Xenopus tropicalis: one gene and its partners. The protein of the gene in region 1 purifies or fractionates together with the protein of each later gene. This does not show direct contact. Links are inferred from orthologs where the notes say so. Each region holds a gene or a part of one and is shown in the gene's direction. Other genes may lie near its edges. The genes, in order: fgfr1, hsp90ab1, cdc37 and rps6ka3.

Region 1 (4,388 bases):
GCTACTGTTACTTCATCATCTCAAAGCATTAAAGACTAAGCTGCTCTGCGTCTGTGTTCTTATGGTAACCCAACTCTTACTTTTGGAACAGGTTTCAGGGGACTCCAACTCATCAATGCACTCTGGAGTGATATTGGTCAGACCCTCACGCCTCTCATCCAGTGGGACGCCTATGTTGTCTGGAGTCTCGGAATACGAGCTTCCGGAAGATCCACGTTGGGAAGTGGCAAGAGACAGGTGAGGAACTTGCACACAATTTCGCAAGTAAAATCAATCTTTACCAATGCAAATCCTAAACAAAATCGTGCTATTTCATAGGTTGATCCTTGGGAAACCTCTCGGAGAAGGCTGCTTTGGGCAAGTAGTAATGGCAGAGGCTATCGGCCTGGATAAGGAGAAGCCTAACAAAGTGACAAAAGTTGCCGTGAAGATGTTAAAGTGTGAGTTGCCTTTATAGAAACTGACCCTATGCTAATTCATTTCATTTACTATACTTTATGAAAGGTTTTGAGGTGGGCTTTGCCAATGTACTATCTGACAGCCAATCACATTGAAGGCTTCTCATTCCTAGCTAAAGTAGGCTGCCATTTTGCTTGGATACAGTAATACTAGTCTTGACAAGGAGAAGCCAATAAACGCCAACTGGGTCATATGGGTTGGATAATAGAGACTGTGATCATGAATTTATAAGATAAGTATAGTTTATTGTTCCATAATGTGAATATTTATCTCCGTTTAGCTGATGCAAGTGAAAAGGACCTGTCTGATCTGATTTCCGAGATGGAAATGATGAAAATGATTGGAAAACACAAAAATATCATCAATTTACTTGGTGCCTGCACCCAAGATGGTGAGTTCCTTCAAACTGAATAACATGTATTATAATGTTTTGACCTGAACCCCTCCTTTTCGTGCATACCCATCCTCCTTTCCCTTCCACTACCTTCTCCTATGTAAGAACCACAATAACACCTGCTATGCTGCCGCCATTTTGTTCGTGTTTAGAAAAACTGTTAGTGATGGTCTATTGATTGGAGGATCTCCTCCTCCAATCAGCAGGTACTTGGTTATTTATTACAGTAGCTGTTCCCAGAGCACCACCCCCTACCAGGTTGCAGTTAGTTAGTTAGTTAGTTAGGGCTTAGTTATCCATTACAGTAGCTGTATGCTGAACTACATATGCTGGTTTAAAGATAACGTACTAAGAGTTATGTTTAGGTTTGCTGTCCCTGAATTAGTGGCTCTCTGCCAGTCACTACTAAGAGACTGACAACTAGTGGTTTTAGCGAACAGCAAATATTTTGTTAGCGTAAAGCCATTTACAAAATCTATGATTTTCATGACTGACCACCAGAGGCCGCTGTTTTATATTATGAGTTGTTTATATTATTATCCATATGAGTTTATGGATGTAATGAAATGCATACTTACCAATATGACAGCTGCCTTTTTATAAGAATAAACATATTACATAGGTAAATATAGCTTCCTGGGCAAACTATCCTATACCAAGAAATGTTATCTTCCATTAAGAGGACATATACCCGACATATCAATGCTTGGCTGGATCACTAGGAATTATACCTGTAGATATTGCTGCAGAGGAGATATCTTTACATTAGCACTGATTACCATCTCTTCCCTTCAGGTCCACTCTATGTAATTGTGGAATATGCTTCCAAGGGGAACCTTAGAGAGTACTTGCGAGCCAGGCGCCCCCCGGGCATGGAGTACTGCTACAACCCTACCTGTGCCCCCGATCAGCTGCTCTCCTTCAAGGATCTGGTGTCGTGTGCTTACCAGGTGGCGCGTGGGATGGAGTACCTTGCCTCTAAAAAGGTTGGTAGCAACCTGTTGCCTTTACTTCGAAGACCTAAGAGGAAAATTACAGTGATATTATATTCAAAAATATATTCCTGCACTGATTGTAGTTTTTAGCATTTCAACAAATAGTTCAGTTTTATGACCCATATAGTTTAGTCGTGAAATTAATAGCTCTGCATGGTTGTCCCCCACAGTGTATCCACCGAGACCTGGCTGCAAGGAATGTCTTGGTAACAGAGGACAATGTGATGAAGATTGCCGACTTCGGCTTAGCCCGTGATATCCATCACATTGACTATTACAAGAAGACCACAAACGTGAGTACTTTACAGACATCCCATTCCTACCTAGCGCAGGTATGCGGCACAATAAAATTCATTTTTCACCTTCCTTGGAAATGGCTGGGGTCTCCCGTTTGTAGGAGGTGCAGATTTTTGTATGGGGGGGGGGTGCGCTGGCTGAATGAGTAAATACTAAGAGATGTGCTCTTGCACCCCTTTTTCCACCAGTCACCATAAGTGACCTCTATTGTGTGTAATAATTGCTACTCGATAACGGCAACTAAAACTTTTGTGCATTATGACGGGGGGAGTGTGTCACGGAGTCTGACTCAGTGACTAGCCGTTATCAGCCAGTTACTTGTACTGAGACTAAGTTGTTTGCAGCAGGGAAAGATAGGTTGTAGGAGCCAAATAATAGAAAATTTAGGGCCATGAACACGCGAGGAACGTGACTTCACTTCTATTTCCACTGGTTGAGTGTCACTAGGAAAGCTAAATATCCTGTGGCAATTTCCCTACACTGTCAAAGCCACCAAAATAGTTTTTGCAAGGTCCCCACAATGCTGCCTACCTAAGCCAGGCTTGTCATTAAGGAAACTATCTTGATCTTACTGGAATGCTGATATTAAGACATGGAATTTTCTTTTAGGGACGGCTGCCTGTAAAATGGATGGCCCCAGAAGCCCTTTTTGACCGGATTTACACTCATCAGAGTGATGTGTGAGTATCATTAAATGTGAGCTTTTTATTGAACGTAGGGCACAATGATGTAACTACTCTGCACTGGGCCCTCCAGACCCTGTAGCCTGGTGCCGAGTAGCAAACCCTACCTGTCCCCCTCCCACACGTGTATGAATCCCCACTCCCCTGCCTGCTCTCAGGTGGGATTTTTATGCAACTATAGAGGAAGCAGTCCCCGCAGTCTGGGTTCCCGTGCAACCATGGGGTCTGCTTCCTTAGTTACACCACTGTTAGGACACTCACAATACAGATGGATTGGCCAAAACGGATCATTTTTGTTGGTTATTGAAAAATGCAAAATATCAGTGGGTGTGCATTCAGCTTAGAGTTTTTTGCATTTCAAGTCATCCATGGGGGTTACCTCATAAATAGATGCAGAAACCTTTATAAAATGTTTTATACACCCCCATTTATTGAAGCCAATATACTGGGCCAATTATTCTCTGTTTGGGGCCAGATAACAATAAAACATTGATGGGTTGAACTTGATGGACTCAACCTTATGTAACTATGTAACTATATGTCATCCAAAGGGGTCCAGCGTAGCTCCTGAGCAATATGTGGGCTACACCTGGCTCACAAGCTCCCCGTTGGACTGCCCTGTACTAGACAGTAGTAACTAGAAAAAAAAGATGGATTTTGTTTGTATAATAGAGGCTAATGTATTCCCTAATGTCATGTTTTAAGGCTGTTGAAGGAGGCAGGTCTCCTCCAATAGATTCAAATTAGGCCCTGGCATTTAAAGTATTAAAGTACACAGAGGCCCAAACAGCCCCCTACCAGCCCAATAAATAGTGACTGTCTATGGCTTCTTACAGCAGCCCCTGTGGCATTTGCCAGAACCCACAGATTGCCAGTCTGGGCCTGGAAGGAGGATTTCCTTTGCCATATAAAAGCATGGAGTCATGAAGGTTACTGATCTCTAATGCAACATCTGTTGGGCTCAGCGGTTTTTGTAGGATGACTGCAGTTGTGCACTCTTAACCTCTTCCTGCTGTATTTCAGCTGGTCGTTCGGTGTGCTGCTGTGGGAGATTTTCACGCTCGGGGGCTCCCCGTATCCTGGTGTCCCCATGGAAGAGCTCTTTAAGTTACTTAAGGAAGGGCACAGAATGGATAAACCCACTACCTGCACCAATGAGTTGTAAGTATCTATGTGCGTCTATGCTTTTTTAACTTGTAGCTTAACAACCACTGCTTGTGTCTCCTTATCATGTCCATAAACACGTTGCCTCGGGGGCTAGTGAATTTAATGTAAGCTCTGTTTCTGTAGGTATATGATGATGAAGGACTGCTGGCATGCCATGCCTTCTCAAAGACCAACATTCAATCAGCTGGTTGAAGATCTTGACCGAATTCTTGCTCTGAGTTCCAATCAGGTACGTTTTTAATGAATTCTACTGTATATAGTCCTGGTTTCACTGTATTGTGCCTGAATGTGTTATAGTCACTGTTCCGCATTGGTAACGTTCCATCGTTTTCTCTTTCCCTCTCTGCAGGAGTATCTCGATCTTTCCATGCCAGTGAATCAGTATTCTCCATG
Region 2 (5,100 bases), on another chromosome or scaffold:
GGCAGGGACTGATGGGAATGTGATAGGGACCTTAGATTGTAAGCTCACTGGGGCAGGGGCTGATGGGAATGGGATAGGGATCTTAGATTGTAAGCTCACTGGGGCAGGGACTGATGGGAATGGGATAGGGACCTTAGATTGTAAACTCACTGGGGCAGGGACTGATGGGAATGTGATAGGGACCTTAGATTGTAAGCTCACTGGGGCAGGGACTGATGGGAATGGGATAGGGACCTTAGATTGTAAGCTCACGGGGCAGGGGCTGATGGGAATGGGATAGGGACCTTAGATTGTAAGCTCACTGGGGCAAGGGACTGATGGGATGGATAGGGGCCCTTAGATTGTAAGTCACTGGGGCAGGGGCTGATGGGATGTGATAGGGACTTAGATTGTAAGCTCACTGGGGCAGGGGTGATGGGAATGTGATAGGGACCTTAGATTGTAGCTCACTGGGGCAGGGGCTGATGGGAATGTGATAGGGACCTTAGATTGTAAGCTCACTGGGGCAGGGCTGATGGGAATGGATAGGGACCTTAGATTGTAAGCTCACTGGGGCAGGGCTGATGGGAATGTGATAGGGACCTTAGATTGTAAGCTCACTGGGCAGGGACTGATGGAATGGGATAGGGACCTTTAGATTGTAAGCTCACTGGGCAGGGGCTGATGGGAAGGGACTTAGAGGTGTAAGCTCCTGGGGCAGGGGCTGATGGGAATGGGATGGGACTTAGATTGTAAGCTCACTGGGCAGGGGCTGATAGGGAATGTGATAGGGACCTTAGATTGTAAGCTCACTGGGGGCAGGGGCTGATGGGAATGGGAATAGGGACCATTAGATTGTAAGCTCACTGGGCAGGGGCTGATGGGAATGTGATAGGGGACCTTAGATTGTAGCTCACTGGGGCAGGGGCTGATGGGAATGGGATAGGGACCTTAGATTGTAAGCTCACTGGGGCAGGGGCTGATGGGAATGGGGATAGGACCTTAGATTGTAAGCTCACTGGGCAGGGACTGATGGAATGGATAGGGGCCTTAGATTGTAAGCTCACTGGGGCAGGGGCTGATGGGAATGGATAGGGACCTTAGATTGTTTAGCTCACTGGGGCAGGGGCTGATGGGAATGGGATAGGGACCTTAGATTGTAAGCTCACTGGGGCAGGGACTGATGGAATCGGGATAGGGCCTTAGATTGTAAGCTCACTGGGGCAGGGACTGATGGGAATGGGATAGGGACATTAGAGTGTAAGCTCACTGGGGCAGGGGCTGATGGGAATGGGATAGGGACATTAGAGTGTAAGCTCACTGGGGCAGGGGCTGATGGGACAGAATACCAGGGCTACAGAAATAAAACAACCAAATAAACCCTTTATCTTCCCATGTGACTCAGCAGCCATTTGTCCCTGCAGTTAGTGACGTAACAGGAGCCTTGCCCCTCCCACTAGCCTGGCCCCTCCCACAAACAACAGAGGGCGAGCGGAATGACAAAGCAGCAGATGGCGGCAGCGGGGCTGAAGGGTTCATTTGCCTCACAGACAAGGAAGAAGGGGCGGGGCAGGGGAGAGGCAGGGGAGGGACAAAAGGCGGAGTCACTAGAGAAACTACTAGAAAATTACACTACCTCCTCCGCTTGGTATCCTCCCGCCAAGGAAAAAAAATAGTCCCAGCAGCATTTGCTATAAGGAGGGAACCTCCCGGGCCGGCCAGAGGGGGCGCTGTGAGTGAGTGCTGAGTAACACAGAGTTGCGCATGCTCAGTTCCCTGAGGAGAGACGCACTCGGTAGTTTGATTATTGCAGCTGGGCTGAAAGGCGAAATCCCAGATCCGTACTGGGAAGCCCTGGTCCCACGGAGCTACTGCCCGCACTCTCTCTCACTGCGGCTCCGCGTACTCAGCCCTAGCTGCAAATAGTGCCGGCACTGGTGCAGGCGGAGGGATCTGGGGCTGCTCTCCGCCCAGTATAAAAGGTGCCCGGCTGCTTGTTTCTTTCCTCTTCATTCACCAATTCCCCAGCAGTGTTCGGCCGCGGAGATCCTTAAGCAGCCAAGGTACCCGGGGGGGCATTGTGTGGGGCTGCTGGGGGCATTGTGTGGGGCTGCTGGGGGCATTGTGAGGGGCTGCTGGGGGGGGCATTGTGAGGGGCTGCTGGGGGGGGCATTGTGAGGGGCTGCTGGGGGGATAGTGAGGGGCTGCTGGGGGGCAGCGGGCTGGGTATTGGCACTTGGGAGTCCGAGTGGGGCAATGGCTGGAGAAACTGAGGCAGGAGCCATAGTAGCGGGGAGAGGGGCAGTTAGATGGGGGAGAGGGGCAGTTAGATGGGGGAGAGGGGCAGTTAGATGGGGGAGAGGGGCAGTTAGATGGGGGAGAGGGGACATTATCGTTGAGGCGAATTCGGGGCCCCTGTAATTCTCTACGGGAAAGGTTCATTCTGTGTATTATTCCCGGGGTTTCCCTAACTGTCAGTCCCGGCCCCGCCCCCCGGCCCTGGAACCTTCTAGATCTTTCTACCCCCCCCCGCGGGTGGGGGCGCACATGGTTAGGGAGCCGGTAGCGCCGCCATGTTGGGATGAAGCGCGTCACAGCCGGGGCCGGGCCGTGTATCCATGGTAACGGCTCCCCCTGCGCCCGGTCATGGTCTGTCCCGCTGCTGCTTGCGCCGTATGGGCTGGTCCATGTGTTCCCTCTGCTGGGGGGGGGGGAACGAATAACACTGACAGCTGCCCCACACCCGGGGCTCCTGTTGCCCCCCACACCCGGGGCTCCTGTTGCCCCCCACACCCGGGGCTCCTGTTGCCCCACACCCAGCGGGACAGGTCGCAAATGTCTTTCAGCCCAAAATCGGGGGAGGGGGGATTTAAAAGCTTCTCACAGGGTCTTAAAGGGCCAGTACCCCCAGTTACTCAGTGTGAGCTCAATGAGTAGAGCAAGTTCTGCACAGAGATCTGCCTGTTGCTGTAAGGAGATAATAGGACTTATTTAATATAAATATATTTCTCTAACCAGGGTGGAACTGAAAGTAAAAGTCCCTTACATGGCTGCTGTGAAGCCTCTATATAAACAAACCCCTCCCTTTCCCCAATGGCAGGGTGTGAGTGTTATACAGAGGCTGCTGCTTTGTTTCCATTCTGCTCATAAGAGCAGGAAGTAGAATGTTGCATAGGAGGGGGCAGTTATACGGCCCCTGGTGTTGCACGGGGCAATAGTCCTGCCTAAGACCCAGCTGACTCTCGTTCCCTTACACAGATGCCTGAAGTCGCTCACAATGGAGAGGAGGAGGTGGAGACATTTGCCTTCCAGGCGGAGATTGCGCAGCTCATGTCCCTCATCATCAACACCTTCTACTCCAACAAAGAAATCTTCCTGCGAGAGTTGATCTCCAACGCCTCCGACGTAAGTCTGTCCTTGGCTGCCTATGTGCCAACTGTGCCAGTGCCCAAGCACCCATATGTGGGGGGAGGGGGTATCTGAACTAAAGCAGAGCTGGCCTCTTGGCTCAGCTAGTGATAGAATGGTGTGTGTGCTCTGCAGCCAAGCTGTTATATTAGTAGGTATTGTGGCAGCTTCACTGCCTGTTGCATAGGGGTCTGGGGGGACTGTTATAATGAGGGGGGGGGGGCCCTCTGGGCTAGTAGCCACTCTCTGCCAATCCTCAACCTTCTCCCCATTGTTCGGTGCCGCAGGCCCTGGATAAGATCCGATACGAGAGTCTGACCGATCCCTCCAAGCTGGACAGCGGCAAAGACCTGAAGATCGACATCATTCCCAACCGCCAGGAGCGCACACTGACTGTCATCGACACCGGGATTGGCATGACCAAGGCCGACCTCATCAACAACCTGGGAACCATCGCCAAGTCCGGCACCAAGGCTTTCATGGAGGCCCTGCAGGTCGGTACCAGCGGCCCAATATAAAGCATTGACTATTAAATGCTGGCGCATTAAGTACCGTCCACTAGCCAGTGGTGTCTCCCTGAAGTCCAATTGAGTTGTGGTTCCTTCTCTCTGACAGGCTGGTGCTGACATCTCTATGATTGGTCAGTTCGGTGTGGGTTTCTATTCTGCGTACTTGGTGGCAGAGAAGGTCTTGGTCATCACCAAACACAACGATGATGAACAGTACGCGTGGGAATCCTCCGCCGGCGGCTCTTTCACCGTGAAGACTGACCATGGTGAGTTTGTGTTCAATTGGACCAGAATTCCCCTAAAGGCCTGTAAGTTGGCACCACTAACCCCAAACTGGTATTTCCTGCTAGGTGAGCCCATTGGCCGTGGTACCAAAGTCATCCTCTACCTGAAGGAAGATCAGACAGAGTACCTGGAGGAGAAACGTGTCAAGGAAACCGTGAAGAAACACTCGCAGTTCATTGGCTACCCAATCACCCTCTATGTGAGTATGGCCGGCCAGCTGGGGGCAGGGCCCTGGGTCTGATGTACGATTGGCTCACTATTTGTCTCCCCGACAGCTGGAGAAGGAGAGGGAAAAGGAGATCAGCGACGATGAGGCAGAGGAGGAGAAAGAGGAAGAAAAGAAGGAAGAGGAGGGAGAGAACGACAAACCTAAAATAGAGGACGTGGGCTCCGATGAGGAAGAGGAGGGGAAGGACAAGAAGAAAAAGACAAAGAAGATCAAGGAGAAGTACATCGACCAGGAGGAGCTGAACAAAACCAAGCCCATCTGGACCCGTAACCCAGACGACATCACCCAGGAAGAGTACGGAGAGTTCTACAAGAGCCTGACCAATGACTGGGAGGATCACTTGGCTGTGAAGGTAAGAAGAAAAAAAAACCCCATAATGCACCGCTTGTTCAGCTCTGGGTTCCACACTCTCTCCTGAGCGCTAACACCCCCTGTTCTGCTTCCCCCCAGCACTTCTCTGTGGAGGGGCAACTGGAGTTCCGCGCTCTGCTCTTCATTCCCCGCCGCGCCCCCTTTGATCTGTTTGAGAACAAGAAGAAGAAGAACAACATCAAGCTGTACGTGCGCCGCGTCTTCATCATGGATAGCTGCGACGAGCTGATCCCAGAGTATCTGAGTAAGTACTGGCCCGAAGCTTAGTGGGCCCCCTCCTTCCCCCCCCCCCCATAGGATGGGATGCTGGGTAAAGCC
Region 3 (5,051 bases), about 6.7 Mb from region 1:
TAAGGACCAACTGCAGAACTGCCCCCACATCCCAATAGAAAGTAATGGTACAATCACATACCCTATAGAGCAGGGAGCAGGTTGCAGAACATGCAGGTTGAGTCTGAAAGAGCAAAAAAGAATACAAAATGGAGCCTCTGTCTATACTGCCCAACTGCATGCTGGGTATTGATTGTAGTTTTATATTAATCCTAGCTGTAGGCTAATTGTTAGATACAAACTACATTACCCAGCATGCAGTGGGACAGCCACACTAGAGGGAAAAACTTTGGCTAGTTTCCAAACTACAAACCCGCCAAGGCGCTAAAAAATAGCCCAAATCTGTACCTTGGCTGTACATTGGAACCCCACCTGGGCTTTAAACTAGTAGAAGAGTTATTATAAAATTATGCTTTTTTACACTTTGAAATGGCTTTTACAGATTGTTTAAAGGTTAAATATGCTAATTGCACAATTGTGTGTGCTAATGAAGTGTGAGACTATTTAATCAAGTTCAATGCACTTGTTTTTATGCCTGAAGAAGGCTAATTTGGTCATTTGGCCCTGGGGCCAAACTACGGAATTATAATGACGGGTATAGGCAAGTCATTTTGGGGACTGCATCAACGAGCCGATGCGGTCCCAGATCCGTCAAAATTTTTTAACCTGCCCGATTTCAGGCCAGATGTCGGTCATGCAGGCCCGTCGTTCGTGCCCCTACACGGGCCAATAAGCTGCCGAATCGGTCAAAAGGTGCCCATACACGGGCCGATTGTAGCTGCCAATATCGGTCCCTTGGACTGTTTCGGAAGCTTATTGGCCCGTGTAGGGGCAGGAACGAGGAGCACGCCCGACCGATATCTAGACTCACATTGGCCACATATTGATCGGGCAGGTTAAAAGATTTAGTTGGATCGGGGAACGCATCGGCTCGTTGATGCAGTCCCCGAACCAACTGCCCCATTGCCATTATAATTCGATTGGCCCCAGGGCCAAACGATCAAATTTGCCTACATGTTCCCCGATATCACCCACCCGTAGGATCTTCACGTGTATGGACACCTTAAGGGACCGATATCGGCCGCTAAAATCGGCACGTGTATGGCCACCTTAAAGCACAGATCTGCTTGCCTGGCAATTAGGCACATTTGGTAACTGACCCTCAACCAATACCTAATGGAAACCAATTATATATTGCTTCAAAGTGATTTATATTTACAATTGTAACGACAAGCAGTATTTGTATATCCCTTTCTGTTCTCTGGTTTTGCTACATTGTTTCAGGAGTCAGAACCAGCAGCGCAAACAACAGTAACAGCCAGGCAGACGCTGCTTTGAACAAAAATCACAAAATATCAAAATGATTTATTTTTCTTTTTAATGTATGTATACCAGAAAGCTGCCTAGAATTAAGTTAAAATAAAACAGATTCCGGATGGTGTTCCCCTTTCACAATATAAGCAGTTGTTTCATGTTTTCCTCCCCCTTGGGCCGCCTATAATGTTGATTGTGGAAAAACCCTTCGCATACCATCCTATAAAGCCGTTTCTATCTCCAATTCCCCTCCACAAACCACTCCCTACGGCAGCAAGAACAAACCTGCCTGTCTAGCAAAGGCGGAAGTGACGCAAGGAGAATGGAATAGGCAAAAAAGGAAGTCGGCCCGAAGACTCTAGCGTAAGGGCAAATCAGCCGCGTCGAGGTTAAGGAAGTGATGTCATGGAGTGGGCAGGCTGAGGCAGAGAGTGCAGGAGCTTTCCAGAAGCTTGCGAGGGGGCCTGCAGCTGCACCCTGGTGTGCCAGGTAATGGCTTCTTCCCACAGCTGGCTATTTCTCTTATACCTGCCTGCGGTGCTGCTATATCCTATTTACCTATACGGACAGGCTGTTTGGGCAACAGTTTAAGGCATTAAGCAATACTCCCTGGTATAGTGAGCGCTGTTCTTGCCCGGGTAGCTGTACTACAACTCTCACAATTATTGAACATATACTCCAGACTTAAAGTATACTGGGAGTTGTAGTCTAACAATATCTGGGAGCCAGGCTTTATCATCATTAATGGCTGGGGCACAGTATATTATTTTCATCTACCCCCCCCCCCCCCATATCCCTGCCATGTTTCTGATTCTAGTCCCTGACATGTGGCAAGTAAAGCAGGAGTTGGGGGGTCGCACTGTCACATCTGGGGGGGGGGGGGGGTAACCATCAAATATTACATTACTGTTGTTTTTTTGATTTGCCAGGAAGGATGTAGAGACAAAATTATACCAGGAAATTTACTCACCATAACAGAAAAGTAACTTTATATATCCCCCAGTTAGGGGGGGATTTGGGGTGAGTGCTTATTTGTGCCCTGGGTACCCCTGGAACTATAGCAGGGTGACTGTTACCCCAATGTTTCTATATATCTGTAACCTTGTTATGGGCTAAGGGGGCCCAGCCTGAAGGCCAGTTAGGGGGGGATTTGGGGTGAGTGCTTATTTGTGCCCTGGGTACCCCTGGAACTATAGCAGGGTGACTGTTACCCAATGTTTCTATATATCTGTAACCTTGTTATGGGCTAAGGGGGCCCAGCCTGAAGGCCAGTTAGGGGGGATTTGGGGTGAGTGCTTATTTGTGCCCTGGGTACCCCTGGAACTATAGCAGGGTGACTGTTACCCCAATGTTTCTATATATCTGTAACCTTGTTATGGGCTAAGGGGGCCCAGCCTGAAGGCCAGTTAGGGGGGGATTTGGGGTGAGTGCTTATTTGTGCCCTGGGTACCCCTGGAACTATAGTGGGGTGACTGTTACCCCAATATTTCTATATATCTGTAACCTTGTTATGGGCTAAGGGGGCCCAGCCTGAAGGCCAGTTAGGGGGGGATTTGGGGTGAGTGCTTATTTGTGCCCTGGGTACCCCTGGAACTATAGCAGGGTGACTGTTACCCCAATGTTTCTATATATCTGTAACCTTGTTATGGGCTAAGGGGGCCCAGCCTGAAGGCCAGTTAGGGGGGGATTTGGGGTGAGTGCTTATTTGTGCCCTGGGTACCCCTGGAACTATAGCAGGGTGACTGTTACCCCAATGTTTCTATATATCTGTAACCTTGTTATGGGCTAAGGGGGCCCAGCCTGAAGGCCAGTTAGGGGGGGATTTGGGGTGAGTGCTTATTTGTGCCCTGGGTACCCCTGGAACTATAGCAGGGTGACTGTTACCCCAATGTTTCTATATATCTGTAACCTTGTTATGGCTAAGGGGGCCCAGCCTGAAGGCCAGTTAGGGGGGGATTTGGGTGAGTGCTTATTTGTGCCCTGGGTACCCCTGGAACTATAGCGGGGTGACTGTTACCCCAATGTTTCTATATATCTGTAACCTTGTTATGGGCTAAGGGGGCCCAGCCTGAAGGCCAGTTAGGGGGGGATTTGGGGTGAGTGCTTATTTGTGCCCTGGGTACCCCTGGAACTATAGCAGGGTGACTGTTACCCCAATGTTTCTATATATCTGTAGCCTTGTTATGGGCTAAGGGGGCCCAGCCTGAAGGCCAGTTAGGGGGGGGATTTGGGGTGAGTGCTTATTTGTGCCCTGGGTACCCCTGGAACTATAGCAGGGTGACTGTTACCCCAGTGTTTCTATATATCTGTAACCTTGTTATGGGCTAAGGGGGCCCAGCCTGAAGGCCAGTTAGGGGAGATTTGGGGTGAGTGCTTATTTGTGCCCTGGGTACCCCTGGAACTATAGCAGGGTGACTGTTACCCCAATGTTTCTATATATCTGTAACCTTGTTATGAGCTAAGGGGGCCCAGCCTGAAGTCCAGTTAGGGGGAGCTTGAAGACCTCTGTATTAGCTTTTAGTGGGGGAAATTCAACACAGGACAGATAGTCCTTCAATGCATTTTGTAGAGACAAAAAGATTAGAAAGGCTCCATTACCGTTTGGCCCTAGATTCAGTCCTTGATAGTGATGAGGCAGAAGCAGTTATGACAGTAGGTACTAGTAACTGCTGGAATTGCATTGGCTCTGTCGAGGTATTTTGGAGATAATTATGAACACTTAAGACATAAGAGGATCGTGCTTAGGGCCTTATGGATACATCAGGCTTTCTAGACACACAGGAGCTGCTTCTGTAGCAAGTAGTAATATAGACCTTTTATATGTTTGAATTCTTGTAAACAAGTCTTTCTTTATGCCCTTCATTTCAGTGAATCTCTTGTTTGTCTGATCTCTGCTACACAATGGTGGATTATAGCGTGTGGGACCACATTGAAGTTTCTGATGACGAAGATGACACTCATCCCAACATTGACACTGCCAGTCTTTTCCGATGGCGTCACCAGGTAATGCCACATAGGGGGGAAGATTCTCTCTCCTTTCCTCATTGAAAATGTTTTAAAGGAACAGTAACACCAAAAAATGAAAGTGTAAACTAAAATATAATGTGCTGCTGCCCTGCACTGGTAAAAGTTGTGTGTTTACTTCAGAAAGTCTACTATAATTTCTATAAATAAGCTGCTCTGTAGCCATGGAGGCAGCCGTTCAAAGGAGAAAAGGCACAGGCACATAGCAGATAACAGATAAAACACTATTGTATTCTACAGAACTTATCTGTTATCTGCTATGTAACCTGTGTCTTTTCTCCTTTTTTCCAGCTTGAATGGCTGCCCCCATGGCTACACAGCAGCTTATTATATAAATTATTAGGGCTGGGCGATATACCGCTTAATACCGAATACCGGTGTTTTTTTTTTTAAAACTATATTCATTTTTCAGATACCGCAATACCGGGGTGTCAGGGTACTCACCCGTGTGGGCTGGTCTCGCACGCCTCCTTGCGCACGTACATGTCAAAGCGTGCACGTCCGCGACGCGCTGACAGCACCAGTTCTGTGCATGCGTGGGGGGTATTTAAAGCTATCAAACGCCTCCTCCTGTGCTATGTTGTCTGCGGCCTTGCCTGGGAAACTAAGCCTGCCTGATTTACCTTACGACTTTCTGTTGCCGATCCTTCGCTTGCCTGACTCTGATTTTCGATACTGCAGTAATTATTCTCTAATTTATTAGGAAATGGGGTTAACACCTAATCATGCATGGA
Region 4 (4,388 bases), on another chromosome or scaffold:
CCAGTGGTGTAACTCTATAGGGGCCAGGCCCACAGGCTGCAGGGTGGCCAGTGGGGAATAGAGAGCCCATGACAGGGATGGTTGCAGGTGACCTGCAGTTTTACATGCGGCCTGTGAGGCAAAACTGCAGGTGACCCGTGATTTTGTGTATGTCGTGGGTCACCCATGATTTTATTTTGAGGATGGATAATGTGGGGGTCCGAAAATAACTTTTTTGCAAGGGGTCCTGGGACTGGATGCTACATATCCCAGTTGTTTGTAAGAAATAGTGCTTAGTGTTGCAGTGGTGTGAGTAGAGGTTAAGAAAGAGTCTGTCAGAATTAACCATTAGCACCCATGCTCTTCTGCCCCCTTTCCGTGCAGCCTCTAGGTCTGCTGACATTTTTGTTACATCCCCCATATAGAACCTTTTTGAATTTTTAACTTCTTATACCTGAATTCCCTTTCACCATGCAGATCCAAACAGTGGAGTCAAATTTATGATATGCTGCAACTTTATTCAGACCAAATTTTGGACCAAGATACCAGCTGCTAGAGCTATATGGTTAAGGCAAATGTCTGATGTGACATTTTCCTTGGAGGAGTAAATAAATGCAATGTGGCTGCCTTCAAGGGCAGATTTCTAAACCATGCAAGCATGCATTTTTGGACAGAATGATTTTCAGGTCAGCAGAGAAAACATCACTTGTGACATGAGCTAAGGTCACACGAGGCATAGCCATGACTTTTTCCACAGGCGGTCAATGTGGTCTCCTCTAGCCATGTCTCTGCACTGACAGGTATGGTGTTGGCCTATGCACACACAGTGGTTATTGTCACAAAAATGCAAAAATATGAAAATCCCACATAAATGCGAAATCCGCTCTGTGTATCTGCTAACAGGCTGATGCTGTGCCTGGCAATGCAGAGACACAGCAAAGCGGAAGGAAGCATGTCGGTTCTCTTGGAGAAGGCGAAAGAAACTAAAGCTGCGCCTCATTTGACATTAGTCTTAGGGGGCAGAGAAAACACCATGTGTGGCATTACCCTTGGGGGCTACAAGGGTTTATTAGTTGCTTCTACCCCTTTTATAGCATCTTCATTCCTGGTCATCCATACCTATTTTTTTTCATCTGATTTTGTTATAATTGCCTCTGTCTTTAGGCTCTAGTATAATGCAAACTCTAGTATAATACATTATTCGGTCTTACTTAATGCACAAGAACAGGGAGTTTTGTGAGAATACATCATTTCTTTGGAAAGGGAGAATGTAGGATACAAAACTTGTTTTATGGTGTTTACATCTGGCTATGTTTTCTGCTATGTAACCTGTGCCTTTTTTCCTTGAGTGGCTGCCCCAGTGGCTACACAGCAGCTTTGTTTATATTAACTATAGCAGTCTTTTTGATGCAAATACACAACTTTTACCAGGGCAGGGCAATAGTACATTACATGAATCTATTCATTACTTTGATAAACTTTCCTGAGCTGTTAAATGGGCAGCAGCCAATTACAGCCATACCATAAATCCCTTTATGTCTGCAAGGAATGTATTAGTGTTATGAAAATACTGATAACGCATTAGCTATACTTAAGTGCATTTTTTTCTTAGGGCTCTGGCACACGGGGAGATTAGTCGCCCGCGACAAATCTCCCTGTTCGCGGGCGACTAATCTCCCCGAGTTGCCATCCCACCGGCGAACGTGTAAGTTGCCGGTGGGATGGCACACGCGGCGGTGCGATTTCGGCAAATCGCCGAAAATGCCTCGACCGGCGACTTACATGTTTGGCGGTGGGATGGTAGTTCGGGGAGATTGGTCGCCTGTGACAAGGGAGATTTGTCGCGGGCGAATAATCTCCCCGTGTGCCAGAGCCCTTAAGCTCCTTGTACATAAAAAAAACTACTTATATGGCGAGGATACCTGATTTGGCCAACCATCAGATCGTCACAGGGGCTTATGTCCCAAATGGTAAAGGACTTCATTAATAAACCTCATCTGACTGAATTTTTAAACCTGATAGCTATTGGTTAGGCAGTGTATTGGTTTGCCCTTATACATGAGCCTATAAACTGTCTACTCATTTGGGAGGGGCAAAGTTAGCAGCTGTTTATCTTGTGTATGGCCTTTTAGATTGTCCAATCTGCAGCTGTCCAGATGTTGAAATAGCTTTTTCTGTGGCTGTAGTGAGATTCCAGCAGTTATATTTCAAGAACAATAATTGGACATCCTTGATTATATTGCTTTAAAACATGGAAAAATCAACACACAGTTTTCTGAGAACACCGTTTGAAAATGCAACCTGTGCTTGCAATATATATAATTTATAGGGGTAAATTATTCTTTATAATAAACAAATTTCAAGAGTCACTTTGCACATGACATCAGTACCTATTCTAATGATGTAAATGAGCAGCATTTAAAGGGATATAATTAACAGGTTATTCACATCTCTTTTCTATATTTAATTAAAAATGTTAAATGCTGCCAAATCTATTGAGTTAAACATTCTTCTTTTTGCATATGTTTAGAGCCAAACTTGGGATGCCTCAATTTTTAACTCCAGAAGCTCAGAGTCTCCTCCGCATGCTGTTCAAGAGAAATCCTACCAACAGACTAGGTGAGCTAAATGATTTTAGTGTTACCATTTATTTCAGCTTAATGTATATTTGTATAATGTTATTCTGCTTGCTAAAATCTCAGGACCAAAGAAAAATCCTTAATCGCATTTTTACTATTTTATGAAGGAGCAGGGCCAGATGGGGTTGAAGAGATTAAGAGACATCCATTTTTTGCCACAATTGATTGGAATGTAAGACATTTCCCTCTGCAATGACACATATGATATATCTTTTGTTTTCACCCAAGATTCTAGGGACATTATTTTTGTTTGTATTTTTTTTAGAAACTGTATAGGAGAGAGAACCAGCCACCTTTTAAACCAGCCACTGGTGGACCAGAGGACACATTTTATTTTGATCCCGAGTTCACAGCAAAAACACCAAAAGGTAGGTTATTTTTACCTGTTTCTCATTTACTGTGTGCAACTTAATTAGTAAATGGTGGGTATTCTGATGTGTTATGTCCTATATGTTTGCTGACCCTCAGCGCCGGATTTGTGCGCCCCTAACCCCCCCCCCCCCCCCCCCCCCGTGAGCGCATGCGAGAACGCGGAACCAGGCAGGTGTGACACATGTCATACAGAAATACAGTTGTCGCAGCGGTCTTTTTATATATCTATAATTTTGTTTGGAGGAAATGGGGCCCTGAACAAAAGTTGGGCCTCAGATGCAAGCCTGAACTCAGATGGTTCATAAGTCACTGCCTCAGAGGTATTATTCACCTTGAAAATAACTTTTACTATGATGTAGAGACTTGTATTCCTACACAGACTACAATTTGCCTTCATTTTTTTTATTATTTGTGGTATTTTAATTTTTTTTTTTTTGCTTTTTGTTCAGCAACTCTCCAGTTTGCAATTTCTGCAGTTATCTGGTTACTAGAGTAGGGCTTACCCTAGCTTTATTTCATTTTATCTATGTATTATAATTTTTTAGCAATCAATATATATATATCATATATCATTTTCATTTTTTAGAGTTAGTCTTTCAAACACCGGATCTTATCGATCTCATGGAAACATTATGAAAGCTATTGTTTAAATCTGCTCTCTGTTTGTTACACTATAGGGCTTATTTATCAATTTTAGTGTTTGTTTCTCTAAATGAATAAACTTGCATATCAAATGGTCGCTTATTTATTAATAGGAAAAACTCTGAGCTCTAAAAATTCTTAACGGAAAAGATTTTAAGAATATGGCTTGACTTTGCCTATGACAACTCCCATTGACTTCCATAGAAGCTCCCAAGCTTTTACATGGCAATTTTTTACATTTTTTGCACTTAATAAATACCAGACATTTGAGTGTAGGAACGAAAACTCGAATCCGAGTTTCTTAAGCACAAAAAACTTGAGTTGAGGGAAAAAAACCTTGACTTGATAAATCACCCCTTATGTAAAACAATCCTTTCTAGTTTGTTCATCTTTCCCTGGGTTTATGTAGCTATATTTTACCAAACCTAGTGTCTAGTGTACAGTTATGATCATTTTTACCAAATGTATAATACATTTATTTTTAACACCTAGATTCTCCTGGTATCCCAGCAAGTGCCAATGCACACCAGCTCTTCCGTGGGTTCAGCTTTGTTGCCATTACATCTGAGGATGAAAACCAAGCTATGCAAACGGTTGGGGTTCATGCTATTGTTCCAGTAAGCACATTTTTTCTTTGAAGTGTACATACAGTGCCGCTTTTAATAATTCATTTGTATTTTAAATGCTAATTTATAGTTGTATATAACATACATACATTTTAACTTTCTCAGCACTCTATATAATGGCATAAATACA

The links.
Region 2: the proteins of fgfr1 (region 1) and hsp90ab1 purify together in Homo sapiens (affinity purification with mass spectrometry; 3 studies listed by BioGRID and IntAct, with this or other methods). This does not show direct contact. The link is inferred for Xenopus tropicalis from reciprocal best matches to the Homo sapiens genes FGFR1 and HSP90AB1.
Region 3: the proteins of fgfr1 (region 1) and cdc37 purify together in Homo sapiens (affinity purification with mass spectrometry; 3 studies listed by BioGRID and IntAct, with this or other methods). This does not show direct contact. The link is inferred for Xenopus tropicalis from reciprocal best matches to the Homo sapiens genes FGFR1 and CDC37.
Region 4: the proteins of fgfr1 (region 1) and rps6ka3 purify together in Homo sapiens (affinity purification with mass spectrometry; 4 studies listed by BioGRID and IntAct, with this or other methods). This does not show direct contact. The link is inferred for Xenopus tropicalis from reciprocal best matches to the Homo sapiens genes FGFR1 and RPS6KA3.

Annotation. Positions count from the first base shown.
Region 1 is NC_030679.2:130,983,662-130,988,049, forward strand, and holds part of fgfr1 (fibroblast growth factor receptor 1 precursor), read left to right. Parts: intron 1-91; coding exon 92-237; intron 238-318; coding exon 319-440; intron 441-739; coding exon 740-850; intron 851-1,648; coding exon 1,649-1,839; intron 1,840-2,018; coding exon 2,019-2,141; intron 2,142-2,754; coding exon 2,755-2,825; intron 2,826-3,851; coding exon 3,852-3,989; intron 3,990-4,118; coding exon 4,119-4,224; intron 4,225-4,344; coding exon 4,345-4,388. UniProt on the Homo sapiens protein: Tyrosine-protein kinase that acts as a cell-surface receptor for fibroblast growth factors and plays an essential role in the regulation of embryonic development, cell proliferation, differentiation and migration.
Region 2 is NC_030681.2:2,234,851-2,239,950, reverse strand, and holds the start of hsp90ab1 (heat shock protein HSP 90-beta), read left to right. Parts: upstream 1-1,996; 5' UTR 1,997-2,042; intron 2,043-3,237; coding exon 3,238-3,384; intron 3,385-3,674; coding exon 3,675-3,881; intron 3,882-4,002; coding exon 4,003-4,162; intron 4,163-4,246; coding exon 4,247-4,380; intron 4,381-4,456; coding exon 4,457-4,762; intron 4,763-4,860; coding exon 4,861-5,026; intron 5,027-5,100. UniProt on the Homo sapiens protein: Molecular chaperone that promotes the maturation, structural maintenance and proper regulation of specific target proteins involved for instance in cell cycle control and signal transduction. Undergoes a functional cycle linked to its ATPase activity.
Region 3 is NC_030679.2:137,666,641-137,671,691, reverse strand, and holds the start of cdc37 (hsp90 co-chaperone Cdc37), read left to right. Parts: upstream 1-1,760; 5' UTR 1,761-1,782; intron 1,783-4,161; 5' UTR 4,162-4,194; coding exon 4,195-4,296; intron 4,297-5,051. UniProt on the Homo sapiens protein: Co-chaperone that binds to numerous kinases and promotes their interaction with the Hsp90 complex, resulting in stabilization and promotion of their activity. Inhibits HSP90AA1 ATPase activity.
Region 4 is NC_030678.2:43,800,523-43,804,910, reverse strand, and holds part of rps6ka3 (ribosomal protein S6 kinase alpha-3), read left to right. Parts: intron 1-2,509; coding exon 2,510-2,598; intron 2,599-2,725; coding exon 2,726-2,790; intron 2,791-2,883; coding exon 2,884-2,986; intron 2,987-4,124; coding exon 4,125-4,249; intron 4,250-4,388. UniProt on the Homo sapiens protein: Serine/threonine-protein kinase that acts downstream of ERK (MAPK1/ERK2 and MAPK3/ERK1) signaling and mediates mitogenic and stress-induced activation of the transcription factors CREB1, ETV1/ER81 and NR4A1/NUR77, regulates translation through RPS6 and EIF4B phosphorylation, and mediates cellular proliferation, survival, and differentiation by modulating mTOR signaling and repressing pro-apoptotic function of BAD and DAPK1.